3 linked regions of the Pelodiscus sinensis genome follow. Each later gene encodes a partner of the first gene's protein in a complex. Links are inferred from orthologs where the notes say so. Each region holds a gene or a part of one and is shown on either strand. Other genes may lie near its edges.

Region 1 (8,009 bases):
TCTGGCAGTTGGAGGGTTAGGGTCACCCAGAGCGTGCGGTTGCATGCCTGGCCAGCTTGGCTAACAGCCCTGTCCTCTGTGAAGTGATTTCTCTAGGGTAGATTAAAACCCAGCTTTAGTTTTGGCTACCAGCATCCCATGGCGATGCCTCCGAGTCTCCGTGCTTTGCGCGAGTAAGCATTTGCCGTGCGGTCCCTTTGTAAGGCTTTGCCATCAGCTTTGGACTTGCAAATGTTGAACTGCACCCAACCCAGTACAGCCCATCTCCTATCCTTTAATCGGTTACTGATCACGAGAGAGCCGTCCCTCTCAGCCCATGACACCCAAAGGCAAGGCAAGGCCACCTGTAGACCCTCCTTTAACCTCTCGACAGACCGGCCGTGTATTAGCCAGTCCCATTTGCCCACAGACCTCGTACTGCCTCCTGCTGCAGGGAGCCAGCCTCCACCCTGTGGAACCTCTGCCGAGAGATCCTGGGAAACCGGAGCTTGCAGCGCATCTGCAGCATGTTTTGTGGATCTGCACATACCTCGTCGTCAATCTCTTCCTCCTCCTCCTCGCTGGTGTCTTCCCGTTCCAAACGCCAAGCTTCTCCCTCCACCTCTGAGTCACTTTCTCCAACCACTTCTGGCTCCACAATTTTGCGGTGCCTTGCCAGTCTATGCACAGACACCAAAGTTAGCAATTCAGCTACCACAAAGCAGTGACATAGGCATGGCCCATCTACAAACTGAAGTCCCCACACACACATCCAAGCCAGCGCTTCCAGCTACACAATGGCCTTGTCCTAACCCTCCAGACCCCACTGTTCTGGCTCCAGGAACCACAGCAAAGATGCATCTCAGTACACCACACTGAACACATGCTAATCTCAGCTGTTCAAGTAACTACAAAACGCGGCTAGACCCACCAGTATCCTAAATATAATCATGCTGTAACAACCAGAGCTCTTCTGAATATGATGCTACAGCATGAACTCTCATGGACAGTCTGTGAGTGCCTGGCCTACAGTCACAGTGATCACAGCAAAGCCTGGAAAAAGTAAAATTCTTCTCAGAAGGTTGGTTTACATGGCATCAGTAGAAGCAGTAGGTGGATTGCTCCAGAACAGACTTTCCTGTTTCTTCCACTGCAGAAAACACAGCTTCCATTGGGATCCTCCTGCTTCTTCGCTGGCTACGCTAAAGACTGAAGCAATTCTAGAACTGACCTGGCTACTCCGAATAGATATGAATTACTGACTAGAGAAGAGTTAAATAAAACCTCAACTATCTGTTTTTCTCAATGAGATTCAGTAATATAATACTCCCTATCTCCATACAAGAATGTTGTCCTGTTTTCTAGATTTTGCCTTCCTGTGAAGAGCTAGCTGTACCACTTATGACACCTTTCAGAACTTGCTTACTAACTGCAATAATCTACATCTAAAGAATTATTTGTGCCAATGCACAAAGCTGTTTTTTCCTCCTCAGACCCCTCAATTTAAGATGTGGGGAAAACAAAAAAGGGACACTCCAAAAAGTTACACACCTGAAAAATGTATTTCCACAAAAGACTCATGCAAAGTGTAGCTACCACAACAAAAAACTTTCTTTCCATGTTTTTATTCATATTTTAGTTTATTTACACAGTCCCTTGGACAGCACTCTGGCAGAGTCATCTCCAAAGGGAGGTCTTTCACAAAGAGAAACTCTCCTGAAAATATAACAAAGGTGTATCTACAGCTGTCAGTGTACATCAGGGCAGGCGGGCCGGACACCATGGGCGGTGTGTCTGACTGAAGCTTTGTCTACCTTACGTGGCTGGGTTGCCAAAAGTCACCTTTGCTGATAAAATACTTTCGCTCCCCAAGAGCAGCATTTGCTTTATCAGCTGGCGAGCACTCCTGCCAACAAAGCACTTTTTACCCTAATACTGCATCTATAATTGCACTCAACTGATAAAACTTTTGTCATCCATGGATGCTTAACTCCCCCCCGCCCCCCCATGAACGACAAAGTTTTTCCATGGCAAATGCAAGTGTAAACGCCGCTTTGTCAGCAAGAGCGCCCTGCTGCTGACAAAGCAAAACCTCCTTGGAGGTGGCAGTATTTTGCTGACAAAAGTACCAACAGCGTTCTCACAAGCTGACTGTTAGCCACAGGGCTGTGTGGACACAGCCTTGCTGCTAAAAGCGGCGTAGTGCAGACGCACCCTAACGGTTGCTACAACAAGGCTCGTCAGTCAGGGTTGTTTTTTTAAACGCCCATGAACAACAAAACCTTTGTGGCTCATTTGCCAGCGTAGACACAATCTAAAGCAGGGCTGTCATGGGCAGGGGCTTACCGCTCCTCCACATCCTCGTTAATGCGGTTCTGCAAGCGCCGCAGGCGGGGGTCGCTGGCTGAATCCTCCTCCTGCTCCTCTGGCTCCAACTCCTGCTCCTTCGCCTTCTTAATGAACTGGAACTCCTCATCCTCCTCGTCGGAGGACTCCATGGGCGCGTAGTCTGGCCGCTTCCCCGACACATAGCGCTTCACCTTCACCTTCTCCATGGAGATCTCACCTGCCAGGGGGAGGGGTTACCCCAGACCAGACCTCAACGCCCCGGCCCCACGGGGACCACAGCCCCCCGGCCCCCCCGTGAGAGCCCCCAAATTCCCGCGTGCAAACCCCCAGATCCCCCCGGCCACGCGCGCGAGCCCCCCCATGTCCCCCCATCCGCCCCGCGAGCCCCCCCATCCGCCCCACGCGCGCCCCCATGTCCCCCCGCCCGAGCCCCCCCATGTCCCCCCATCCGCCCCGCGAGCCCCCCCATCCGCCCCACGCGCGCCCCCATGTCCCCCCGCCCGAGCCCCCCATGTCCCCCCGCCCCCCGCGCGAGCCCCCCCCCACCCTTCTCGTTGCGGACGGGCACGGCCCCCGCCGTGGACTGGATCGGCGGCTGCTTCATGAGGGCGCTGGGCGCGGCCATGGCGGCGGCTTCTGGCCCGAACTCGGGACCCTCCGACACCGACAAGAGCGGCTGCGATCGCGCCCCGAACCGGAACCGGAACCAGCCGAGCGTCACAGCCACGACCCGGAAATTGTCTTCGCTCAGGCGCCCGCTGGCCGGAAGTACGTCACTACGGGTGGGGACTTGATCCCGGAACCGGCTGTTGATTTGCCGGGGGGAGGGGGAATCGGGTCCCTCGCGCCGCCCGACCCCTCCCCCCCGGGTGCCTGGAGACTCGGCCACGTGCCCTGGCAGTAGCTGGGCGGGGCCCGCCAGGGGGCGCTGCCCTTAGGCCGCGATTCGTCCGCTGGGATGAAGCTATTTGCATCTATTTGCATCTATTTGCATGCGCGGCGGGAATCGCTGCCCCGGGGCTCCCCGGCCCCGCATCCGCCTGCAGCGCGGGCCCAGAGCGGGGGGGGGGCAGAGCCGGGGGGGGCCCAGAGCCGGGGGGGGGGCCGAGAGCGGGGGGTGGGGCAGAACCGGGGGGGCCCAGAGCCGGGGGGGGCTCAGAGCAGGGGGGGGCAGAGCCGGGGGGGGGGCCAGAACCGGGGGGGGCCCAGAGCCGGGGGGGGCCCAGAGCGGAGGGGGGCCAGAGCCGGGGGGGCCCAGAGCCGGGGGGGGGCCCAGAGTGGAGGGGGGCCAGAGCCGGGGGGGGCCCAGAGCCGGGGGGGGGGCCCAGAGTGGAGGGGGGCCAGAGCCGGGGGGGCCCAGAGTGGAGGGGGGCCAGAGCCGGGGGGGCCCAGAGCCGGGGGGGCCCAGAACCGGTGATGTGTAAAAGGGAAGTCAAAACCCCCGGAGCCATTGATTCCCCTATGAGGGGCACGTACAATATACATACATTGCTAATGCTTAGATATATTTGCTATTTGTATCGGAGTAAGACATGACAAAGGTCAAGGCCTGTCACAGGTAATAACTTGTAATAAGGAGACGAGGGGAGGTGAATCCAGTCTTCTGTTAAGTGGAGATATGGATAGATTCCACATCCTTTAAACTTGTGACCGGCTCAAGCAGGAAAGGGAAAAGGGAAGTATGGCTCGCCCATTGTTCAGCAAGTAGGCACTGTATTTAACCTCATTTGGAAAATTAACCTGACCTATAGGAATGCTAAATGTCAAAGATGAAGTAACCTATCATGTTAAGGCACCTAAACCAGGAAAGATGTGAACCCTATAAAAACCCCTGCCTATGAGATGTTGGGGGTCGGCTCTGCTTTGAACATTGAGTTCCTTAGCCGTACCTTGGTTGCAACCAATAAACTTGAGTTGGACCCAGCCTGAAAGTGTGACTCTCTTCTTGGGGTAAATCAGACTAGCCTCCAAGGGGACGAAACCAGCAATTTATGCAACACCGGGGGGGGCCCAGAGCGGGGGGGGGGCCGAGAGCGGGGGGTGGGGCAGAACCGGGGGGGCCCAGAGCCGGGGGGGCAGAGCCGGGGGGGGGGTCAGAACCGGGGGGGGGCCCAGAGCGGAGGGGGGCCAGAACCGGGGGGGGGCAGAGCCGGGGGGGGGGCCAGAACCGGGGGGGGCCCAGAGCGGAGGGGGCCAGAACCGGGGGGGCCCAGAGCGAGGGGGGCCAGAGCCGGGGGGGCCCAGAGCCGGGGGGGCCCAGAGCCGAGGGGGGGGGCAGAGCCGGGGGGGGCCCAGAGCCGGGGGGGGGCGCTCCCCCAGCCCCGCCTGCCCTCCCTGGGGCCTTGGCACACGCCCCCCCGGCGCCCAGCCCGCGGCACAGCCCAGGCCCTCTGGACTACGGGGGGGGATCCCCGGGCCCCCTGCGCCTACTCCAGGAGCAGCCGCTCTCGGCCTGCAGCCCCTCCCCTCCTGCAACCCCCCGTCCCTGCGCCCCGCCCCTCCTGCAACCCCCCCGTCCCTGCGTCCCGCCCCTCCTGCAACCCCCCCATCCCTGCGCCCCGCCCCTCCCCTCCTGCAACCCCCCGTCCCTGCGCCCCGCCCCTCCTGCAACCCCCCCGTCCCTGCACCCCGCCCCTCCCCTCCTGCAACCCCCCGTCCCTGCACCCCTCCCCTCCTGCAACCCCCCCCGTCCCTGCGCCCCGCCCCTCCCCTCCTGCAACCCCCCCGTCCCTGCACCCCGCCCTTCCCCTCCTGCAACCCCCCGTCCCTGCGTCCCGCCCCTCCTGCAACCCCCCCGTCCCTGCGTCCCACCCCTCCTGCAACCCGTCCCATCCCTGCGCCCCGCCCCTCCCCTCCTGCAACCCCCCCGTCCCTGCACCCCGCCCCTCCCCTCCTGCAACCCCGCGTCCCTGCACCCCTCCCCTCCTGCAACCCCCCCGTCCCTGCGCCCCGCCCCTCCCCTCCTGCAACCCCCCCGTCCCTGCACCCCGCCCTTCCCCTCCTGCAACCCCCCGTCCCTGCGTCCCGCCCCTCCTGCAACCCCCCCGTCCCTGCGCCCCGCCCCTCCCCTCCTGCAACCCGTCCCGTCCCTGCGCCCCGCCCCTCCCCTCCTGCAACCCCCCGTCCCTGCGTCCCGCCCCTCCTGCAACCCGTCCCGTCCCTGCGCCCCGCCCCTCCCCTCCTGCAACCCCCCCGTCCCTGCGCCCCGCCCCGCCCATCCTGCAACCCCCCCCGTCCCTGCGCCCCGCCCCTCCTGCAACCCGTCCCGTCCCTGCGTCCCGCCCCTCCTGCAACCCCCCGTCCCTGCGTCCCGCCCCTCCTGCAACCCGTCCCGTCCCTGCGCCCCGCCCCTCCCCTCCTGCAACCCCCCGTTCCTGCGCCCCGCCCCTCCTGCAACCCCCCCGTCCCTGCGCCCCGCCCCTCCCCTCCTGCAACCCCTCCGTCCCTGCACCCCTCCCCTCCTGCAACCCCCCCGTCCCTGTGCCCCTTCCCTCCTGCAACCCCCCGTCCCTGCGCCCCGCCCCTCCCCTCCTGCAACCCCCCCGTCCCTGCGCCCCTCCCCTCCTGCAACCCCCCCGTCCCTGCGCCCCGCCCCTCCCCTCCTGCAACCCCCCCGTCCCTGCGCCCCGCCCCTCCCCTCCTGCAACCCCCCCCGTCCCTGCGTCCCGCCCCTCCTGCAACCCCCCGTCCCTGCGCCCCTCCCCTCCTGCAACCCCCCGTCCCTGCGCCCCTCCCCTCCTGCAACCCCCCCGTCCCTGCGCCCCGCCCCTCCCCTCCTGCAACCCCCCGTCCCTGCGCCCCGCCCCTCCCCTCCTGCAACCCCCCCGTCCCTGCACCCCTCCCCTCCTGCAACCCCCCCCGTCCCTGCGCCCCGCCCCTCCCCTCCTGCAACCCCCCCGTCCCTGCGCCCCGCCTCTCCCCTCCTGCAACCCCCCCGTCCCTGCGCCCCGCCCCTCCCCTCCTGCAACCCCCCCGTCCCTGCGCCCCGCCGTCCCTGCGCCCCGCCCCGCCCCTCCTGCAACCCCCCGTCCCTGCGCCCCGCCCCTCCCCTCCTGCAACCCCCCGTCCCTGCGCCCCGCCCCTCCCCTCCTGCAATCCCCCTCCCTGCGCCCCGCCCCGCCCCTCCTGCAACCCCCCCGTCCCTGCGCCCCGCCCCTCCCCTCCTGCAACCCCCCCGTCCCTGCGCCCCGCCCCTCCCCTCCTGCAACCCCCCCGTCCCTGCGCCCCGCCCCGCCCCTCCTGCAACCCCCCCGTCCCTGCGCCCCGCCCCTCCCCTCCTGCAACCCCCCCGTCCCTGGGCCCCGCCCCTCCCCTCCTGCAACCCCCCCGTCCCTGCGCCCCGCCCCGCCCCTCCTGCAATCCCCCGTCCCTGCGCCCCGCCCCTCCCCTCCTGCAACCCCCCCGTCCCTGCGCCCCGCCCCTCCCCTCCTGCAACCCCCCCGTCCCTTTTTATCGGCCCCCCCGTCCCTGGACCCCCAGCCGGCTGCAGAACTTGCAGCAAACCGCGCCCAGGGAACATCTGCACACGCTCCTGCTCCACACCCTGCATTTCCCCACCCGCGTGTCCCGCCCCCATGCCAAGTGGCGGGACGACCTCAGATCCACTGAGGGTGGGGAACCCCGAGGGGCCGGCGTTTATTCCATCTTAATCCCGCGGCCCATCGGAGACATCAGTTGGCGGCTCCTTCATGGAGCCGTGAGCACGGGTGTGTACCTGGGGCGGTTCACCCCTATCCTGGACACCTGGGGCGGTTCACCCCTATCCTGGACACCTGCCCCTTCTGCGGCGTGAGGGAGAACCTGGCCCACGCCTACCTCGAGTGCGCCAGGGTGCAGCCCCTATTCCGGCTCCTCCAGAACCTCTTACTGAGGTTCTGGCTGCACTTTTCCCCTCACCTTTTCATTTATGCACACCCCATCCGTGGCCCCACAAAGTCGCAAGACCTCCTCGTCACCCTCCTCCTGGCCCTAGCGAAAGCCGCCATCTCTAATACCAGGAGGAGGATGCTGGACGAGGGGGTCTCTGCGACTGTGGGGCCTATTTCTGTTCCTCCCTTGTGTCACATATCTGGGCAGAGTTCCTCTGGGTGGCGCCCACTGGCTCCATCGACAGCTTTGAGGAGCAGTGGGCGCTGTCCAGGGTTCTCTGCTCCGTGTCCCCATTTGGTTCCCTTATTTTGAACCTGTGACCCGCACTCCTTGATCCTTTCGTCATTATGTGTCCCCTGTAATCAGTTGGACACGGGTCCAGTTGTCCCTCCCGTAAGGCTGGGGAGGGGCTTTTAGAACGTGAGCGGGCTTTGCCCACCCACCTTCCCATTGTTTTCAAATCGACCCTAGACCCTGTCTGCAGGGCTCCTCCCCAGACAGTCGCTCCCCACCGTGTGCGTGAGACGGATTGTTCCTTCCCGAGTGGAGCACTTCGCATTGGTCCTGTTCACCTGAGACCAGCTCTCCAGTTTGTCCAGATCAGTTTGAATTCTGACCCGTCCTCCAGAGCAGTCGCAACCCCTCCCAGCTGGGGATCATCTGCAAACTTAAGGAGCGTCCTCTCTCTGCTGATATCTCAATAACTGATGAAGATACTGAACAGAGCCGGTCCCAAAACAGAGCCCTGTGGACCCCCCTTGTTCTGCCCTTCCCACAGGCCTGTGAACTGTTATCCAAACCAGGCAGCGAGT
Region 2 (7,783 bases), on another chromosome or scaffold:
CCCCTCATCCAGCTCAGAATCTAACAGATCTTCTTGAATTTGCATGGAAAGCTTCCCCGCCTCTGAGGGGCTTTCAGAAGAATAAGTGTCTCTCTCTTTTTCTGGGCTTGGGATAAGATTGTTAAATCTCCCAACTTCTCTGTTTGAAGTTTAGCTGTAAATACAGTCTCTTCTACTGGGGAGAAAAACGATATTTGTCCAAGCACATTTTGCAGGGAGAGAGGGGGGACGCTCCACCTCCTTCAATTTGTGGTTCAGAAGATCAGGGTTTCTCTGAGCTTTGCTTGGGGCAGAGAATGGTGTCTCTCCTCTGCTTAGGTCCATTTTGTTTCATTTTGTTTTTATGGGGAGGGAAAAGATCATGGTGAATTCTCCCTACGTATCTTTTTGTAATGTTAGAAGAAAGAAGTAGTGACCATAAATCTGCCCCTTTACCCACAAACACTTTCAACACAGACTATAACCTGCCGAATAGGGATGTTAAATTTAGATTAATGGGCTAATCGAATAGTTGATGCACTGACTAGTTGATTAATCAATAAGGGCACCTTCCCCTTTGAAGTGTAGCAACAGCTGCAGGGCTGTTGCCCCACTTCAAAGGCAAAAGTGCTGCGGGAGCCCGGGGTCAGTGGGCTACTCAAGCAGTTCCCCACTGGTCCCATGCTCCCTGCAGCATTTCAAAATACCAGCACCACTTGGAGCTCAGGGTCAGCAGGAGACTCCCCAGCAGGCCCCGGACTGCACGCGGCGCTGCTGTTTTGAAGCACCCCCACCTTTTCCCTCACCCCTTGCTGCCTCTTTCTGATAAGAAGCAACTAGTTGACTATCCTGTCAACTATTCAATAAGTATTTGCTTGTGGATTAATTGTTGACATCCCTACTGCCGAATGTATACTATAGCAATTCTTAGAACCCAGACTTACACGAAATTACTGATCAAATCTACACTCATGCACATGATCTAAGCATGCTGTTATCCACATAGATCTGTCAAAGTATTTACACCTACTAGAAACATATCTAAACATATCAATGTAAATGTCAACAAAGATCAAATAAGTTACAATCATTCAGGTATCAGAGGGGTAACCGTGTTAGTCATTCAGGAGAAGTCACAAATCAAACAGTGTTTTTATAGTTAAATTTTAGTTTTAGAACAGCTTAAATTACAAACACTTAAGCTAGATAATAAGTGGCTGAGGGGATTTCAAAGTAGTTATAAAAGAATTAGAGACACCCCTGCAGGACGCACTGCATCACAAAGAAGCCACTAGATAGATACAACCACATCCCATTTTACTACTAATTAAGGGAGCAAATCTGTGGTCCAACTTTGTCAGAAAAGCATACAGAATGCTTTGGCTCCCACAGCTCAGTTACACTTGCACTGTGGTAGGTAAAACTTTTTTGGGGCAGGAGTGTGAAAAAACACACCAGATCAACCAAGTAAGTTTCAGCAACAAAAGCACTGGTATAGACAGTTCCATGTTGGCAGGAGATGCTTTCCCCGCCACTCGTGAGGGGTGGTTTAATTAAGAGGATGGGAGAACTGTCTCCTGTTGGCATACAGCAACTACATGGCTGCCTCTCGGGTCTGTAGTGTTCACGGAGTTTAAATAGAAATCTTACACCTACAGTCCTACAAACAAAATTCCACATGCACAGAAGAATTGGAGTCACAGAACAAAAGTAAGATGAACCCCGCCCTTGTTAGCATACCTAAAAAACAGCCTCTGCACTTCTGGTTTGATCTCAACTAAAGCAGCAATGATCCTACTGCAACGCAATGGAGCAAAATCTAAAGCTGAATAAGTATTTAGAATGGATTAACACCAGTCCCAGATCTCAGCAACATTAACTAGGGATGTAACAGAATAACTGTTTACATGGTTAACCAATAAGCCTGAGTTTATTGGTTACATGAATGGTTACATGCACATTCCTGCTCCACTCCTGGGGAACCAGCTGCCACCCTGCACTACTAGCTCTGTATTAGAGCACAGAAAGCAAAGCAGGAGTGCGGGGCAGCAGCTGGAAGCCTGTGTGCACTGGCTCCCAGGGAGCTGGCTACTGCCCCATGCTGCAGGTGCACGTAACCGCTGACATTTCCAGTGGTTACACGGTTACCAAAATACCCACTTTTTAACATCCCTGCTATTAACCGCCAACCAAGGAAGGAAATGTCTCCCAGAATAACTGACATCAACAACCGTCAGGATGTGACATCAACCCCCAGAGCACGAATCGAGGGTTCTCAGCCAGGTCACCCGGAGGTCTTCGGGGGAACATCAACTCATCTAGGTACTTTCCTAGCTTGTCTGTAACTGGGCGGCAGCGGAGGGGTCCCACGGGGATTCCCTGCTGTGACCCCTCCCTCTGGGGCACCTGGGACTGGCCCGGGGGCCGCACACAAAGCACTCGCCCAGTGCCCGGCCCCCGACAGGCGGGGCCGGTGCCACAGCCGCGGGGGGAGGGCGCTCGCGGGCACGGGGCTTGCCGGCGGGAGGAGACGCGGGGGCAGGACCCGGGCCCCGGACGGGCGCGGGCCCGCGGGATGGGGGGGCTGGAGAAAGCGGAATGGGGGGGGCCCGCGGGATGGGGGGGGCTGGAGAAAGCGGAATGGGGGGGGCCCGCGGGATGGGGGGGGCTGGAGAAAGCGGAATGGGGGGGGCCCGCGGGATGGGGGGGGGATCAGCGGCTCGCGCCCACGTGCGGCCCCGCGCGCAGCCCTCCGCGAACCCCGCCTGGGGACCGGCCCGCACCGGGACCCGCAGCCTCGCGGGGTGCGAGCCGGGAGCGGCAGCAGCCCCGGGCTCCCCCGCGCGCCCCGCTCTCGGCACCTACCCCGCTGCCCGACGCCATGTTGGATGGGAAGCGAATAAGGAACCAGACGGTGCCGTACGCGGGCAGCCAGAGCCGTAAAGTGAGCCAGTCCTCCCGAGCACCATCGAGGGGCGGCCGCGTAGCTAGAGCGTAGCGGCGGCGGGTGGCGACCGGAAGTGGATGTTCCGGGCTCCGTGGCCCGGGTGCTTTTGAGCTTATTTTTGTGCCTCTCGGGAAAGGCCCCTGAGGCGGCTGGTTGCAGGTCAGAGGGTCGTCCCCGTGCCGACCCGGAACAGCTCGGTCCGCCCGGCCCGGACGCTCTAGCTCTGAGGAAACGCACAGGAGGCCCTGAGACTCTATGGTTAGAGTCAGCTACTCTATGGTTGCCCCGAGCCTGAGTCCTCCGGGGCGGGCGTCAGGGCAGAGGGGGCCGGGGCCGGCTCCGCCCGCGTCTGCCTCGGGCCTCCCCGCCGGGAGCCTTCGGGATCCGGCCGCCGCCTGAGCCATGAGCTGGCTGCGCCCCCTCGCCGCTCGGCTCCGCCCGCGCCTGGCGCCGCACTGCGGCCTGCGCGCCTTTGCCGGTCACCCCCAGAACCAGGTGAGGCCCGGCCCGGCTCCGCCCGCCTCCGGGCGCGGGGCTTTGGCTCCGCGACGGGCCGTCGGGAAGCAGGGAGCAGCACGGGGCTGGCGCCGGGATCCTGCCGCCGGGTCGCTCCCATCCTCCCTGCTGGTGAAAACCTCCCCTGGAATTGCTGTGGGGTCCGAGGGCGGCAGCGCGTCTGGCTCGCTGTCCAGCCCCGTGCGCACCGAGCAGTGAGCGCAATCGGGCCGTCAGCTGAGTGCTCTGCCCCGATCCCCGCTACAGGACGGGGGAGGCAGAGGCAGCAGACCTGTTGCGTCTCCTGCACGTTGTCCGGCAGGGACTGGTAGAGACTGTTCTGGCTGGGTAGAAAGTGATGATTCCGATTTGGGAGTCTTCTAATTTATCTGAAAAGCCCAAACAACTCACTGTACTTTCCACTCTGTAGTCACTAGGCGTCAGTGGCTCCCAGATTTCCATTTAAAATGACTTATGCAAGAAAAACTAGTAGAAGCAAGAACTCCTATTACAGTGGAGCTGTTATGTATATTGCTTGTAGCTGTGTCAGTCCTGAAATAATAAAGAGACAAGGTGGGTGAAGAGATGCCTTGCACTGAACCAGCCGCAGTTGGTGGAAGGTACAAAGCTTTTGAGTTACACAGTTGTAGTCTCAGAAAGGAAATATGTTGGGGACTGATTAAGAGGAAAAGAATTTCATTCCCAGACCCCCAAAGGTAACTCTCCACCTCTTTAAAGTGGAGCTGTTAGTAATGAAGGAAACTTCCTGTAGGCTTTGTAGTGTCCCCCAATCGAGCTGACTTTGTGCTGCCAGAGGATGGAGAAAGGTCTGCAGGCTCTCAGGAGTCAGTGTCATATGCTGTTTATCAAAAGTCTTTTCTCCATTTCTAGGTGGCAGAGGGCATGGTAAAGCTCCTGCAGCCAAAGACACAGGTGGGACCTGAGGAAAAGAAAAATAATTTTGTTCTCAAAACCCCCAAGGTAACTTCCCTTCTCCTTCAGGGATGTGGGTCTCTCCTGGGTTGTTTTCTCTCCTGGCTCCCCCACCCTATCTCCTCTACTAGCATATGGTGTAAGTGCTCCCATCCCTGAAACTACCCTTTTCCCGCTTGTTATCCTGCACTCTGTGGGACAGTGGGATGCACAGTTTCCCTCAACTCCAGATTCTCAAGCCTAAAATTCTTTCTCTTTTTCCCATTCCATTCCTTCTTTCCAACTGACTCTTCTGCTAAGAGCACAAGTAAATGAGAAATTAGTGCCTGGCAAACAGGGGCATACATTTACCGTACACCAGCTCTCCGTATGGACTCTGTGAACTAAAAGTTCCCTAATCTCTCAACTAGCAGCAGTTCCAGCGAATCATCAACGTGTATTCTTGGTCCAACTACCCATTATAGCACCAAACTTTTGAGCACAGGAGCTTTGAGCAGCTGAAGGAGCTGAGAATACATTAGATATTGGATGGATTTACTGTTGCAGGTTGGTGGTGAAGGAATGGAATTTCGACACCGTATAGATCCAAGCACGAGGGTTTATTATGCACAGCGCCGGCAGAGTATCACTTCGCTCATTAGGCTCAGTAAGACACTGCCAAACAATTGATTACAATAGATTACATAGGGTGCCAATGAGCCTCTGAATATGTTCTAGCAGCAAGACACAATTAGCACAATAAGCCAATAATCTAAAAGGTACATCATTGCTCCGCCCATAGCTCAGGTTAACATGTTTGCTATTACACTGGTGTTACCCCTCACACTTCTCCTCTTGCAAGGTGTAAGTTAAATCCTGATTTCGGGTCCATAGAAATGATTATGGCACTTCCCAGATGGGTTGGCCGCAGGTACATTCCTAGTGGGTCTTAAAGCAAAAAGAACAGTAAACAGTACACAGCAACGACAGTTGTGTGTAGTTATCACTGCATCCTCTTCAGCTCTGGTTGGCATCTATATGAGGTTGCTATAACTCAGGCTGACATGCTAGCCCTCTCCTTGAACTCTGGTTGGCGTTCGGGGAGTGTGTACTTGTTATCTCTTTCTGAACCACGGAGTCTCCGAGGTTCCTCTCTGTGAATTATGTGCCTGTAACTCATGATAAGTGCCCAATTACTGCTCCCTGGGTTGTTCTGTCTTAGGTTGTTTATGGCTGGTTAAACAAACATGTCTGTTTCTTGCTTATCTCAATCTTTCTTTAGCCATGTATTGTCCATTGTTAACTAGGCCTCATGCCTCAGACCAGACCCCCGGAGTTTGGGCATATGTGAAAGATTCTTAACAGAGACTATGGTCAAGATCTTACATACATATTATTGGGATTTTGGCCCTTCAGGTGGCTCTTCACTGCTAACATTTTTCTTCTCACCCACTTGCCTTTGGTTTGCTCTCAGGGCACCAGGGACTATAGCCCCAAGCAGATGGTCATCCGGGAGAAAATCTTCAACACCATCATCAGCTGCTTCAAGCGCCATGGGGCTGAGGTCATCGACACCCCTGTGTTTGAGCTGAAGGTGAGGGCAGGGCTGCAGCATGACATCTGTGCTGCTGGAGGTGCTGAGCCCTGAGTCAGACGTGCTCCATAGCTTTGTCCCGTGAAATGTTTGGGTGAATTCTAAGGGGCAGTAGCTGCTAGTCATCTGCCTGGGATTCACTCAACTGATCACCTCTATAGTCAGGCACAAGGATTCTCCCTGCTTTCTCTCTGGGAGCTTCTTGCTCTTATTTTCTGTTTCTGGTGCTCGTCCCCTCTCACCTGACGCAGCTGTCTTGCTTTTCTGTAGGAAACCCTGACAGGGAAGTACGGGGAGGACTCGAAGCTCATCTATGACCTGAAAGACCAGGGGGGAGAGCTGCTGTCTCTTCGCTACGACCTGACTGTATCCTACCAGATGTTCCTGGGAAGCACCATCTCATCCCAGGATTGCTGGTGTTTCTTAGGCAGGTGTGTGGGATGGAGGTGGGGTGGAGGTGAGGACATGCTGGAATCTGTCATCTCCACCTAGCTGAGGAGGAATGTGTCTGCCAACTCCACCCTGTATACGTTCATCCCATTCCTCCCCTGCGTTTCCCTCGTAACTGCATCCATGGCATTGCCCACGGACACCTCTGTCTTGACTCCTCCTTAGCCAGACTTTCATCCCTCCCGCCTGCAACAGCCTGCTGCAACTCCCGTCTCTAGGAGCAGCAGCTAAGTCCCAACCTTTCCAACTCCAGCATTCCGAGAATTACTGCTAGACACACAGTGGTGACTACATCACCCCGTCCTCAAAACTAGCTCCCTGCTGACTTCCGATCTGTACGTTGAAACCGTCCATGGGCTTGCTCCAGCGTTCTCCCTGGACATTGATCTGCGCTCATCTTGGCCAGCCTCCTTTCTGACTCTTCATATGGCCTCCCTACTCTGAGTGAATGAGCCGTTGCCTTTGTTACTGCTGCCTAACGGGTCATCCATCCAGGGCCTCTGTGCTTCACTGACTGCAGCTCTGTTCACATTTCACCTGAAAGCATCTTGGCTCCCTTCTCCTCATTGTATTATGTACATAATTCCAGTTTGTATCCTGGCAGCTAAAGAATGCAGCATCTGTTCAAATGACCCACCAAAGAGGCTATTTGTTCTGGCTGCTAACTTGGTGAGATGACTAAGGTGCTCTTCTAGGGACTTTGCTGTCCTTTAGGACAGGTGGCCACAGTTTGTGGGTGACCTTTAGCGCGGGCTTTGCCGTGGTGTTGTGTTGTACTGGCTTAGCAGCTGTCTGTAGTGATAATGGGTCTGAATGACTGGCCATGGGCTCTCTGGGCCGCCTCTAGGTTCCATCCTTAACCCTTTGCGCTCAGGTGCCCTTTGCGCGTTATTTGGCGATGAACAAAATCACCAACATTAAGCGTTACCACATTGCCAGAGCTTACAGACGGGATAACCCAGCCATGACGAGGGGCCGCTACAGGGAGTTCTACCAGTGCGTGAGTACCAGCAGCCTGAGCGCTCTCCAAGCGGTGGGAGCTGTGTGTGCAGGCCCAGGGTTCCCCGTGAACTCTGAGAAGGGTCTGTCTGGGGTCCTGGCTCTCCACAAAGCACCGGGGAAGTGGACAGGGAGGACGAGGGCTCTGTGTGTGTCGGGCCTGTTGTGCAAAGCGAGGTGTCTCACAGATATAATATTAATAAAACGCTTGTTACTGTTACATCAGTTAAGTGTGGGCCAAGGTTTTATGTCAAGTTATCATTGGAGACTCCCACTGTAACAACCACCATTAACAGTCTTGTCAACATTTTATTAAAAATACAGGCAGTCCCCGAGTTACGCGGATCCGACTTACGTCGGATCCGCAGTTACGAACGGGGCACTTCCTCTCCCTGGTCTCGAGCAGA
Region 3 (7,812 bases), on another chromosome or scaffold:
TCAAATAAAGTAATGAACCCTCACGGAGGTACACCTGCCCCACAATGAAAGCACTTTACAGGACCTAAGCCTGTGAACCACTTCTACAAGTTCTGTAAAACTAGAATGATACTGAAAAAACTTCAGAGGTGTAGCCAAGTTAGTCTATAACTGGAAAAACTTATAAAACAACAAATAGTCCTGTAGCACCTTAAAATTAACAAAACATGTATAGGGTATCATGAGCTTTCATGCACACAACCCACTTTTTCAGATGAACTGAGAAAACTGTTAGTTGTTGAGTGAATGATCAGCGATATCTAGTGGCCAAAAAAAAACTTTAAAAACTACTAGTCCTGTAGCATGAAGTTAAGGGATCCAAGGTACAAAAAACAGAGAAAGAGAGAGGACGGGGAAAGAAAGAGAAAGAAAAAATGGGGGGCGGGGGGAAATATGGTAGGTTAGAGTGTCCATGCTAAATGAGGCTCATAGAGTGGGTTCTAAATAGACCATTTAGCATGTAGCTCCCACAAATGTTATTAAGTCATTGTAGAGGGCAAGTTATGCCACCTCCATGAAAGGGATAGCGCTTGGGTTGATATAGTTAGGCCAATAAAGTGCCAGTGCAGACACTATGTGTTGCTTACATCAATTGCTGATGCCTGCCCAACAATGCCTCACACTGGTAGTTCAATCAGGGCAAGCAGTGTAGGGTGACACACACTCCACTGACACAAATAGCATAGGGTGGGATATGAAAAACATATTCAATTGCTACAGTGGCCCATGTAACTTAGGTCAACTAGGTACAAAAGCATAGTTTATTTGGTTTATTCCTGTGCCATATCCCAATAGAATTGGTGGGGTTGCAAAGTTGTAACTAACAGATACATTTGGCCCATTTTATTTACTTATTTCAGTTTCTATTTTAAAAGCACCTGCTACTTTAATCTCTTATTAGTAGATAGAGCAGTGACAGAACAAGCAGAACCCAAAAAGGGTGGCTGAAACCACTATCACCGCTGCTGCCTAGGAAGCATGAACAAGATTGTGGTCATAGGTAAAAAACTAACCCTCATAAACTATCAGACCAACCCGTTGGAGGAGCAAAATCAAATGGCAAAAATCTTTGCACCTAGCCTCGAAAAGGTCAATCCTAGGAATTGGCAGCAGGAATGTCTCAAAAGATCTTTACTGCTGCATGGCTATAGAATCGACTTGGACAACTGGGACCTACAGCAGAGCTCAAGAGACACTTCTTGTGCTTGGATTTTTCTGACTGGAAAACAAGCCCAAATTGCTATTGTTGCCAAGAAGAGAAATATGCATCACAGACCCTCATGTATCTCCAGTACACACAAATATACAGCACTAAATTCCTACCTTCCAACTCTTCGTGAGAAGGTCTGTGTTATTTTAAGAGAAGTTTTGGAAAAGATAGGAACAAAACCCTAAGAAGCTGGCTAAAAAAACCCAACAAAATACAGTTGTCTGGTAATTGTTTCTGAAGCCAAAAGCAATATATGTGGCAAATGTAAAGACTTAATCAAGTTGGAACTTGTATTTTTGCCACTCTAATGCTAAGTCAAGTTAATGCACTGTCATGTGTCTTCCACTGAGACACTTTTATAATGAACAAACATGAACAGCAGAATACACAAAATATTGCATCAAACCTGTCTCAAATTACTTACATCCGACCAGCAACTGCAAGATCAAACTGCAACTTGTAACAGCTCTTCATACCCCAGGCACAGGGTACACTGTTTCTTCTTAGATCCAATTAACCTATGACTCCCATATACTACTGTCATGGTATTTATCCAAAAACACTGTGTAAGATGTCATACGAAAACTAACAACAAGCTTTCATTAACATTATTGTAAAGTGTATGTGTTAATGATACATATAACATTATCAATTCCTTCTGAGTGATGTTACTGAACATGTTTAAGACCAGACAGCCTAGCCTCAGTAAAGGTTATAAGTAGGTCTGTCCTAGAGAAAGGAATGTAGGTTCTCTCAATTTACTTATTAGCATTAAACAAAGCTATCCAATTAAAGTAAGTGGGGGTTATCTTGAGCTGGAACTTGACAGCCAAAGAATGAACATGGCTCTTGCACCCCTGAGACAGGAGCCAATCTTCAGGAGGCTTTGCTAACCTGTGAAACAGACAACCCTTTTGTGGATATAAGGAACAGGGAGACTCCAGCCTTCTCTGTAGGTGACAAAGGAACCACGTGATTTGAACTCTGTGATGAGTCCTGGCCAGCCTGGCACCGGTGCAAAGGCTGTTAGAATATTGTATCCAGTTCCACAGTTCAAGAAGGATGTGGATAAATTAGAGAAGGTTCAAAGAAGAGAGAAGAATTTTAAAACAATTACAAACTGGTTTTATAGACTCAGAGCTCAAACTATTAAGACAGGTCTCAGTTTTCTCCATTGGGTATTTCTGTAGGCAGAGCTTGTGAGTTGTCAGAATTCTGAATCATGGTAAGCCACAAACACTGCACTTCACAGAGATACTGTTTAGCCCTGACAATAGGAGCAGCGCTGATATTCATAGCTGACAGAGGAGAAGTGGATCAATAAGATTTAACAGAACTCACCACCATTGAGCCAGGCAACTCAGACGGAAATAGCTGGCTTTATTCGCCAATACAAAGGAATACTGCACTGCTTTTCCAACTTCTTATGTAGGTGAAAGAACAATGAACAAATGGCAACACTCCTGCACAGAAGAATGTCCCCCATAAAACACCATTTCAGAGCCAGTATGTCCCTCCAATTCAAAGGAACTATAAAAGGGTCCAAGTTCCTGCTTAATTTTCTCCAATAGAAAGGTACCGTCACTTAAATACAGTATTAAAATGTTTTCACATGCCAGTTTTACCACCTACAAATCAGAGTACTATAACTAGAATATTAGAGGAAAGAGGTCTCTCCTCTCCTTTACCTGGTACACTGGAGAGCACTTTTTATAGAACCAATCTATTCCTCCTGTATGAGCCCATCAGATTTCCCCACTTGTGGGCCTTTCAAAGGAGGAGAGAAAAGCAATGATAAAACCCAAATCTGTGATTGTAAAACAGCAAATATGGACAGGAATGTGTATGTGTATAAGTGTCTGGGAAAGGGTGAGCATATCTAATGGCTTAACTCAATTTTTGTCACTCACTAGATTTCAAGTTCACAGGGTCACTTGAATCAGTGTGATGGAGATTCTACAGAAGTGTCCTAACTCATCACATACAGCAGGAAAGTATGAGAACTCTTCCATCAACAGTTACATTGTAGATTACTGGAAAGCAAGCTAGCTGCAGGGCAGTAGCACAGCACACTCCTATGCAAACTGGGAAGCACCCAGCTCTCAGGATAATTCAGTCACTTGGTCTCAAGCTGTGGCCTGGGATTCCAACAGACAATGCACTCAACCTCCCAAGAGAAATCTGGGCATTACTAACAGATTCCAGAGACAAGTGGGCCCAGAGAAGCACTGCCACAAAGTGCGTGTTGCTAAGGAAGACAAAAAACGTCTCTCCCCTTGTGTTCTGACTGGAACTTACATTTTACATCACATTTGGGTTACATCTTTAACTGCAAGACAACTTCTTCAACCTTCTCAAATCCTACCTGAGAGTTCATGGCTGCTCTACTCAACAGAAAAAGTACCCAACACTGTTTGTACAAATTTCGCAAAATTACAATTCCTTCCTGACAAAACCCTGTTTTTCAATGGAAGTTTCAGATTTAGAATGGCAAGTTTAAATATCTGAGCCTCTCTCCCACGCCCCCTGTGGCAAGCACATTCTGTCCCCCTTTGAGGCAGGGAAAAGGGTGTTACAGCTCTGCAGATGAGTGAGCCTGCCTTTAGCCTCAGGGCAGTGAAAACAGCTGCCCTTCCCTACAAGTCTGTCTGGCCTTGTGGCTAATTAGTATGACCACCCTCTTAACCTGTCTGTGTGGCCTGAGGAGACGAGACAACCATCCAGGGAGCTAATGCGTAAGGGAACCCAGGCCTTTACTGCTCCATCAGGTTGCAGTCGTGGGCCCTATCAGTGTGTGTGTGTACTCATCAGGAGTCGGAAGGGACCCAACTGAAGCACTTCCTCCTCTGTTATACAACTGCACCAATGGCTGGTCTCAGGCTGCGTCCTACCTTGTCTTCCAGGGGCAAGGTCCATGGTGCTCAGCCTGTGGAAGCTCCAACGGTTCCATCTCTTGGCGTCTGCCTAGGCCTTAGCACGGCTAGCCTCCATGGTGTGGGGCCAACGGCTCCTGGGCGGGGCCTGCAGTGTGCATCCGCTCCCTTCAGTGGTTCCAACTGACTAGCTGAGCTGCTCCCTTTCCCGCTGGCGCGCGCACGGCAGGGAGGGGGGGGCAGGTCTCCCTCTGCCCAGAGCAGGGACTAACGGCTCCTTGTCCAGTCCACCCGCCACACCCCACTGTACAATGGCGTCAGTCAGCCTGAGCTCTGCCGCTTTGCCTCCTCCCGCCTTGACACCCCTCAGCCGTGCGCGCGGGAACACGCCTCAGGCGCGGGGCGGCTCTAGCCGCGGGAGCGGGGAGCCCGAGCCGGGGCGCGGCCCTTAGGACACGGCGCGGGCCGAGGCCCATGGCCGCTCAGCTCTAACGGCCGCGCCGCGAGCCCCTGCCGCGCACACGCCGGCCAGAGGCGAGGCCCGCGGGCGGGGCACTCGAGAGAGCGGCAGGCAACGAGGCCAGGCCCAGAGCGCCGCACGAGCCACGCGGCCAAGGCGGGAATCCACCAACAGTCAGAAGCGAAGCCCCGCCCCTCGCCTGCCTGGCCACGTGGGCTCAGGGCGCGCTAGGCCGGTCACGTGAGGTTAGCCAGACGCTCCGGCGGAAGTAGGTGTGCGCGAGGCCGGAAGTGGCGCTTGCTGCTCTGTCTGGTGGGCGCTGAGGCGATCCTGGGCGGTTGAAGATGTCGATAGAAATCGAGTCCTCGGAGTGAGCGCGGGGCGGGGCGGAGCCGGGGACCCCTGGGGGGGCGGGTCCCGGGCAGGGCCCGTAACTGGCGTGTGCCGGCCTGCGGGAGGGTGACTGGCCTGCTCCCCCGCTGGGGAAGGGGGGCCCGTTACCGGCGGGGGGGCGGGTACCGGGCTGGGGAAGGGGGGCCCGGGGCCCGTTACCGGCGGGGGGGGCGGGTACCGGGCCGGGGAAGGGGGGCCCGGGGCCCGTTACCGGCGGGGGGCGGGTACCGGGCCGGGGAAGGGGGGCCCGGGGCCCGTTACTGGCGGGGGGGCGGGTACCGGGCTGGGGAAGGGGGGCCCGGGGCCCGTTACCGGCGGGGGGGGGCGGGTACCGGGCCGGGGAAGGGGGGCCCGGGGCCCGTTACCGGCGGGGGGGGGGCGGGTACCGGGCCGGGGAAGGGTGGCCCGGGGCCCGTTACCGGCGGGGGGGGGCGGGTACCGAGCCGGGGAAGGGGGGCCCGGGGCCCGTTACCGGCGGGGGGCGAGTACCGGGCTGGGGAAGGGGGGCCCGGGGCCCGTTACCGGCGGGGGGCGAGTACCGGGCTGGGGAAGGGTGGCCCGGGGCCCGTTACTGGCGGGGGGCGGGTACCGGGCTGGGGAAGGGTGGCCCGGGGCCTGTTACCGGCGGGGGGGGGCGGGTACCGGGCCGGGGAAGGGGGGCCCGGGGCCCGTTACCGGCGGGGGGGCGGGTACCGGGCTGGGGAAGGGTGGCCCGGGGCCCGTTACCGGTGGGGGTGGGTTGAGTACACTGGCCTTGTTGCTTGTGGTGACCTGCTGGAGGAGGGGAGCTTGAGCCTGATCCCTGTCTCTCTCTGTGTTGTCTTCGCTCCCCCACTCTCCCTTAGTGTGATCCGGCTCATTATGCAGTACCTGAAGGAGAATAGCCTTCATCGTGCACTGGCCACTCTCCAGGAGGAGACCACTGTGTCCCTCAACACTGTGGACAGCATTGAGAGCTTTGTGGCAGACATCAACAGTGGGCACTGGGACACAGTGTTACAGGCTATACAGTCCCTCAAGCTTCCAGACAAGACCCTGATTGACCTCTATGAACAGGTGGATGTGTCACCAACATAGTATCAGCCATATGCTCTATTGTGCATTTATGAACATCACTCTGTTGCCCTTAACTACAAAATCAAAGTTATCAGAATGTCACAAGGGAAAATTACTCTATGGTCCTGGGCCTGAATGCATGCCTTGCAGCACTGGATGAGTGCCTGAATAGATTCCCACCAAGGATAAAACTAGGGTTGTGGGGAAGAAATGAACTGTATGTTTAATTGTTAAACTCTTTCTTCCTCCCTGATACGTTTCTCAAATCTTTTAATGCTTTTATTTTTTTTAAATTATAGATAGGAAGTTCATCTTGGGATATTTGTTAAATACATACCTTCAGCATCAATAATGAATTAATGATCCTGGAAGACTGAGATGGAGTCCGTGCAGCTACTCCCATTGTGGCTCTGCACTACTTTCAGCTGGCTCCTAAAACAATTTTAATGCAGAGCCACAGTGGGAGTTGCTGCCAGGACTGAGCCAGCCTGCAAGGAGGAGGGGAGGGAACTGTGTGTAACCAGTGGCATTAACCAATAAGCACGTGCTTATTGGTTAATTGTTTAATCAGATACACTATCACATCCCTACTTTGCAGTAGTAAATGCTATTCCATTGTTTAACTGTTAACATAAGAGTTGCATTTTATCGTGTGAATACTAAGTTTGTTTATGTTACTCCAGGTTGTTCTGGAATTAATAGAGCTCCGTGAATTGGGTGCTGCCAGATCCCTTCTGAGGCAAACTGATCCTATGATCATGTTAAAACAGACTCAGCCAGAGAGATACATTCACCTTGAGAATCTCCTGGCTAGGTCCTACTTTGACCCTCGTGAAGTAAGTTGTGTTTGTGGAATTTTTTACAAAAGTTATACTTATATGATTTGCTTGGAGAATTTGTAACTAGCGTAACACTTTTGCATTTGTAACTAGTGTAACACTTATTAAAGAAAAGCTTGCTCTATTTAGTGTTTTTTTTCCTTCCAGATTTTCCTGTGTTAAACCATCCCCATTTCTCAAATTCTGTATTTGTTTGTTTTTATTTTGTTATGATACTGCAGTTGTTAGTGTTTGTTGAAGTTTCTACTAAGCACTTCATGAATTTGTTTTTTTTTAATATTCACAAGTAGCTAAAACACCGAGTTGGAGATCAAATTCAGTTTTAATTTCTGCCGCTGACTTTCGATATGATTTTGGGCAAGTCACCTAATCACTCTGTACCTATTTTCCCATCTTTATAGTGCCAGAAACAATACTTTTCTACTTTTGTCAATCTGAAAATGCTTTTGTCAATCTGAAAATGTAAGCATCTAATCGACTACCCGATAAGCCTAGGTTTATCAGATAGTCAAGTCATTACTTAGTCACATCTCCCCGTGGGGAGAGCAGGAGTTGGTGCTGTGGGGAGCCGACTTAAAAGTCAGTTCCCCCCAGCACCGTCTCTGTGGGGGGGGGCACACAGGGGAGGCAGAGACTCAGCTGTCCTGGCTTGTGTCCAGTCCCAGACATGGTGCCTCTGCTTTTTAAATATAGCAAGAGCTGCCCAGCTCTTACTACATTTGAAAGGTAGAGCCGCAGCAGAATTAGCTCCCAGGGTGGGAGGTAGCCCTGCCATGGCTCTGCAGTTTCCCCCCTTATTGACTAATTGAGAAGTTGATGGAAATTCCATCAACTACTCAATTAACTGATTAAACGTAATATAACATCCTTAGTCCCAGAACCATCCATGGGGGTCACCAATGATGCTGGACTAAGGGTTCTGCCGGAGTAGGGAAGTCTGGA

What was found. Proteins that work in one complex are often made in the same cells at the same time.
Region 2: MFAP1 (region 1) and ZMAT2 share a complex: the UniProt entries of both Homo sapiens proteins name them as parts of the spliceosome B complex. The link is inferred for Pelodiscus sinensis from reciprocal best matches to the Homo sapiens genes MFAP1 and ZMAT2.
Region 3: MFAP1 (region 1) and SMU1 share a complex: the UniProt entries of both Homo sapiens proteins name them as parts of the spliceosome B complex. The link is inferred for Pelodiscus sinensis from reciprocal best matches to the Homo sapiens genes MFAP1 and SMU1.

What each region holds. Positions count from the first base shown.
Region 1 is NW_027466027.1:125,021-133,029, forward strand, and holds the start of MFAP1 (microfibrillar-associated protein 1), read right to left. Parts: upstream 3,058-8,009; 5' UTR 2,954-3,057; coding exon 2,875-2,953; intron 2,546-2,874; coding exon 2,326-2,545; intron 660-2,325; coding exon 530-659; intron 1-529. UniProt on the Homo sapiens protein: Involved in pre-mRNA splicing as a component of the spliceosome.
Region 2 is NC_134727.1:1,797,362-1,805,144, forward strand, and holds the start of ZMAT2 (zinc finger matrin-type protein 2), read right to left. Parts: upstream 3,013-7,783; 5' UTR 2,863-3,012; coding exon 2,845-2,862; intron 1-2,844. Other genes in the region: histidine--tRNA ligase, cytoplasmic-like, read left to right, coding at 3,329-3,421, 4,313-4,402, 5,808-5,927, 6,198-6,293, 7,252-7,377. UniProt on the Homo sapiens protein: Involved in pre-mRNA splicing as a component of the spliceosome.
Region 3 is NC_134716.1:58,741-66,552, reverse strand, and holds the start of SMU1 (WD40 repeat-containing protein SMU1), read left to right. Parts: upstream 1-4,800; 5' UTR 4,801-4,926; coding exon 4,927-4,952; intron 4,953-5,820; coding exon 5,821-6,031; intron 6,032-6,714; coding exon 6,715-6,867; intron 6,868-7,812. UniProt on the Homo sapiens protein: Involved in pre-mRNA splicing as a component of the spliceosome. Regulates alternative splicing of the HSPG2 pre-mRNA. Required for normal accumulation of IK.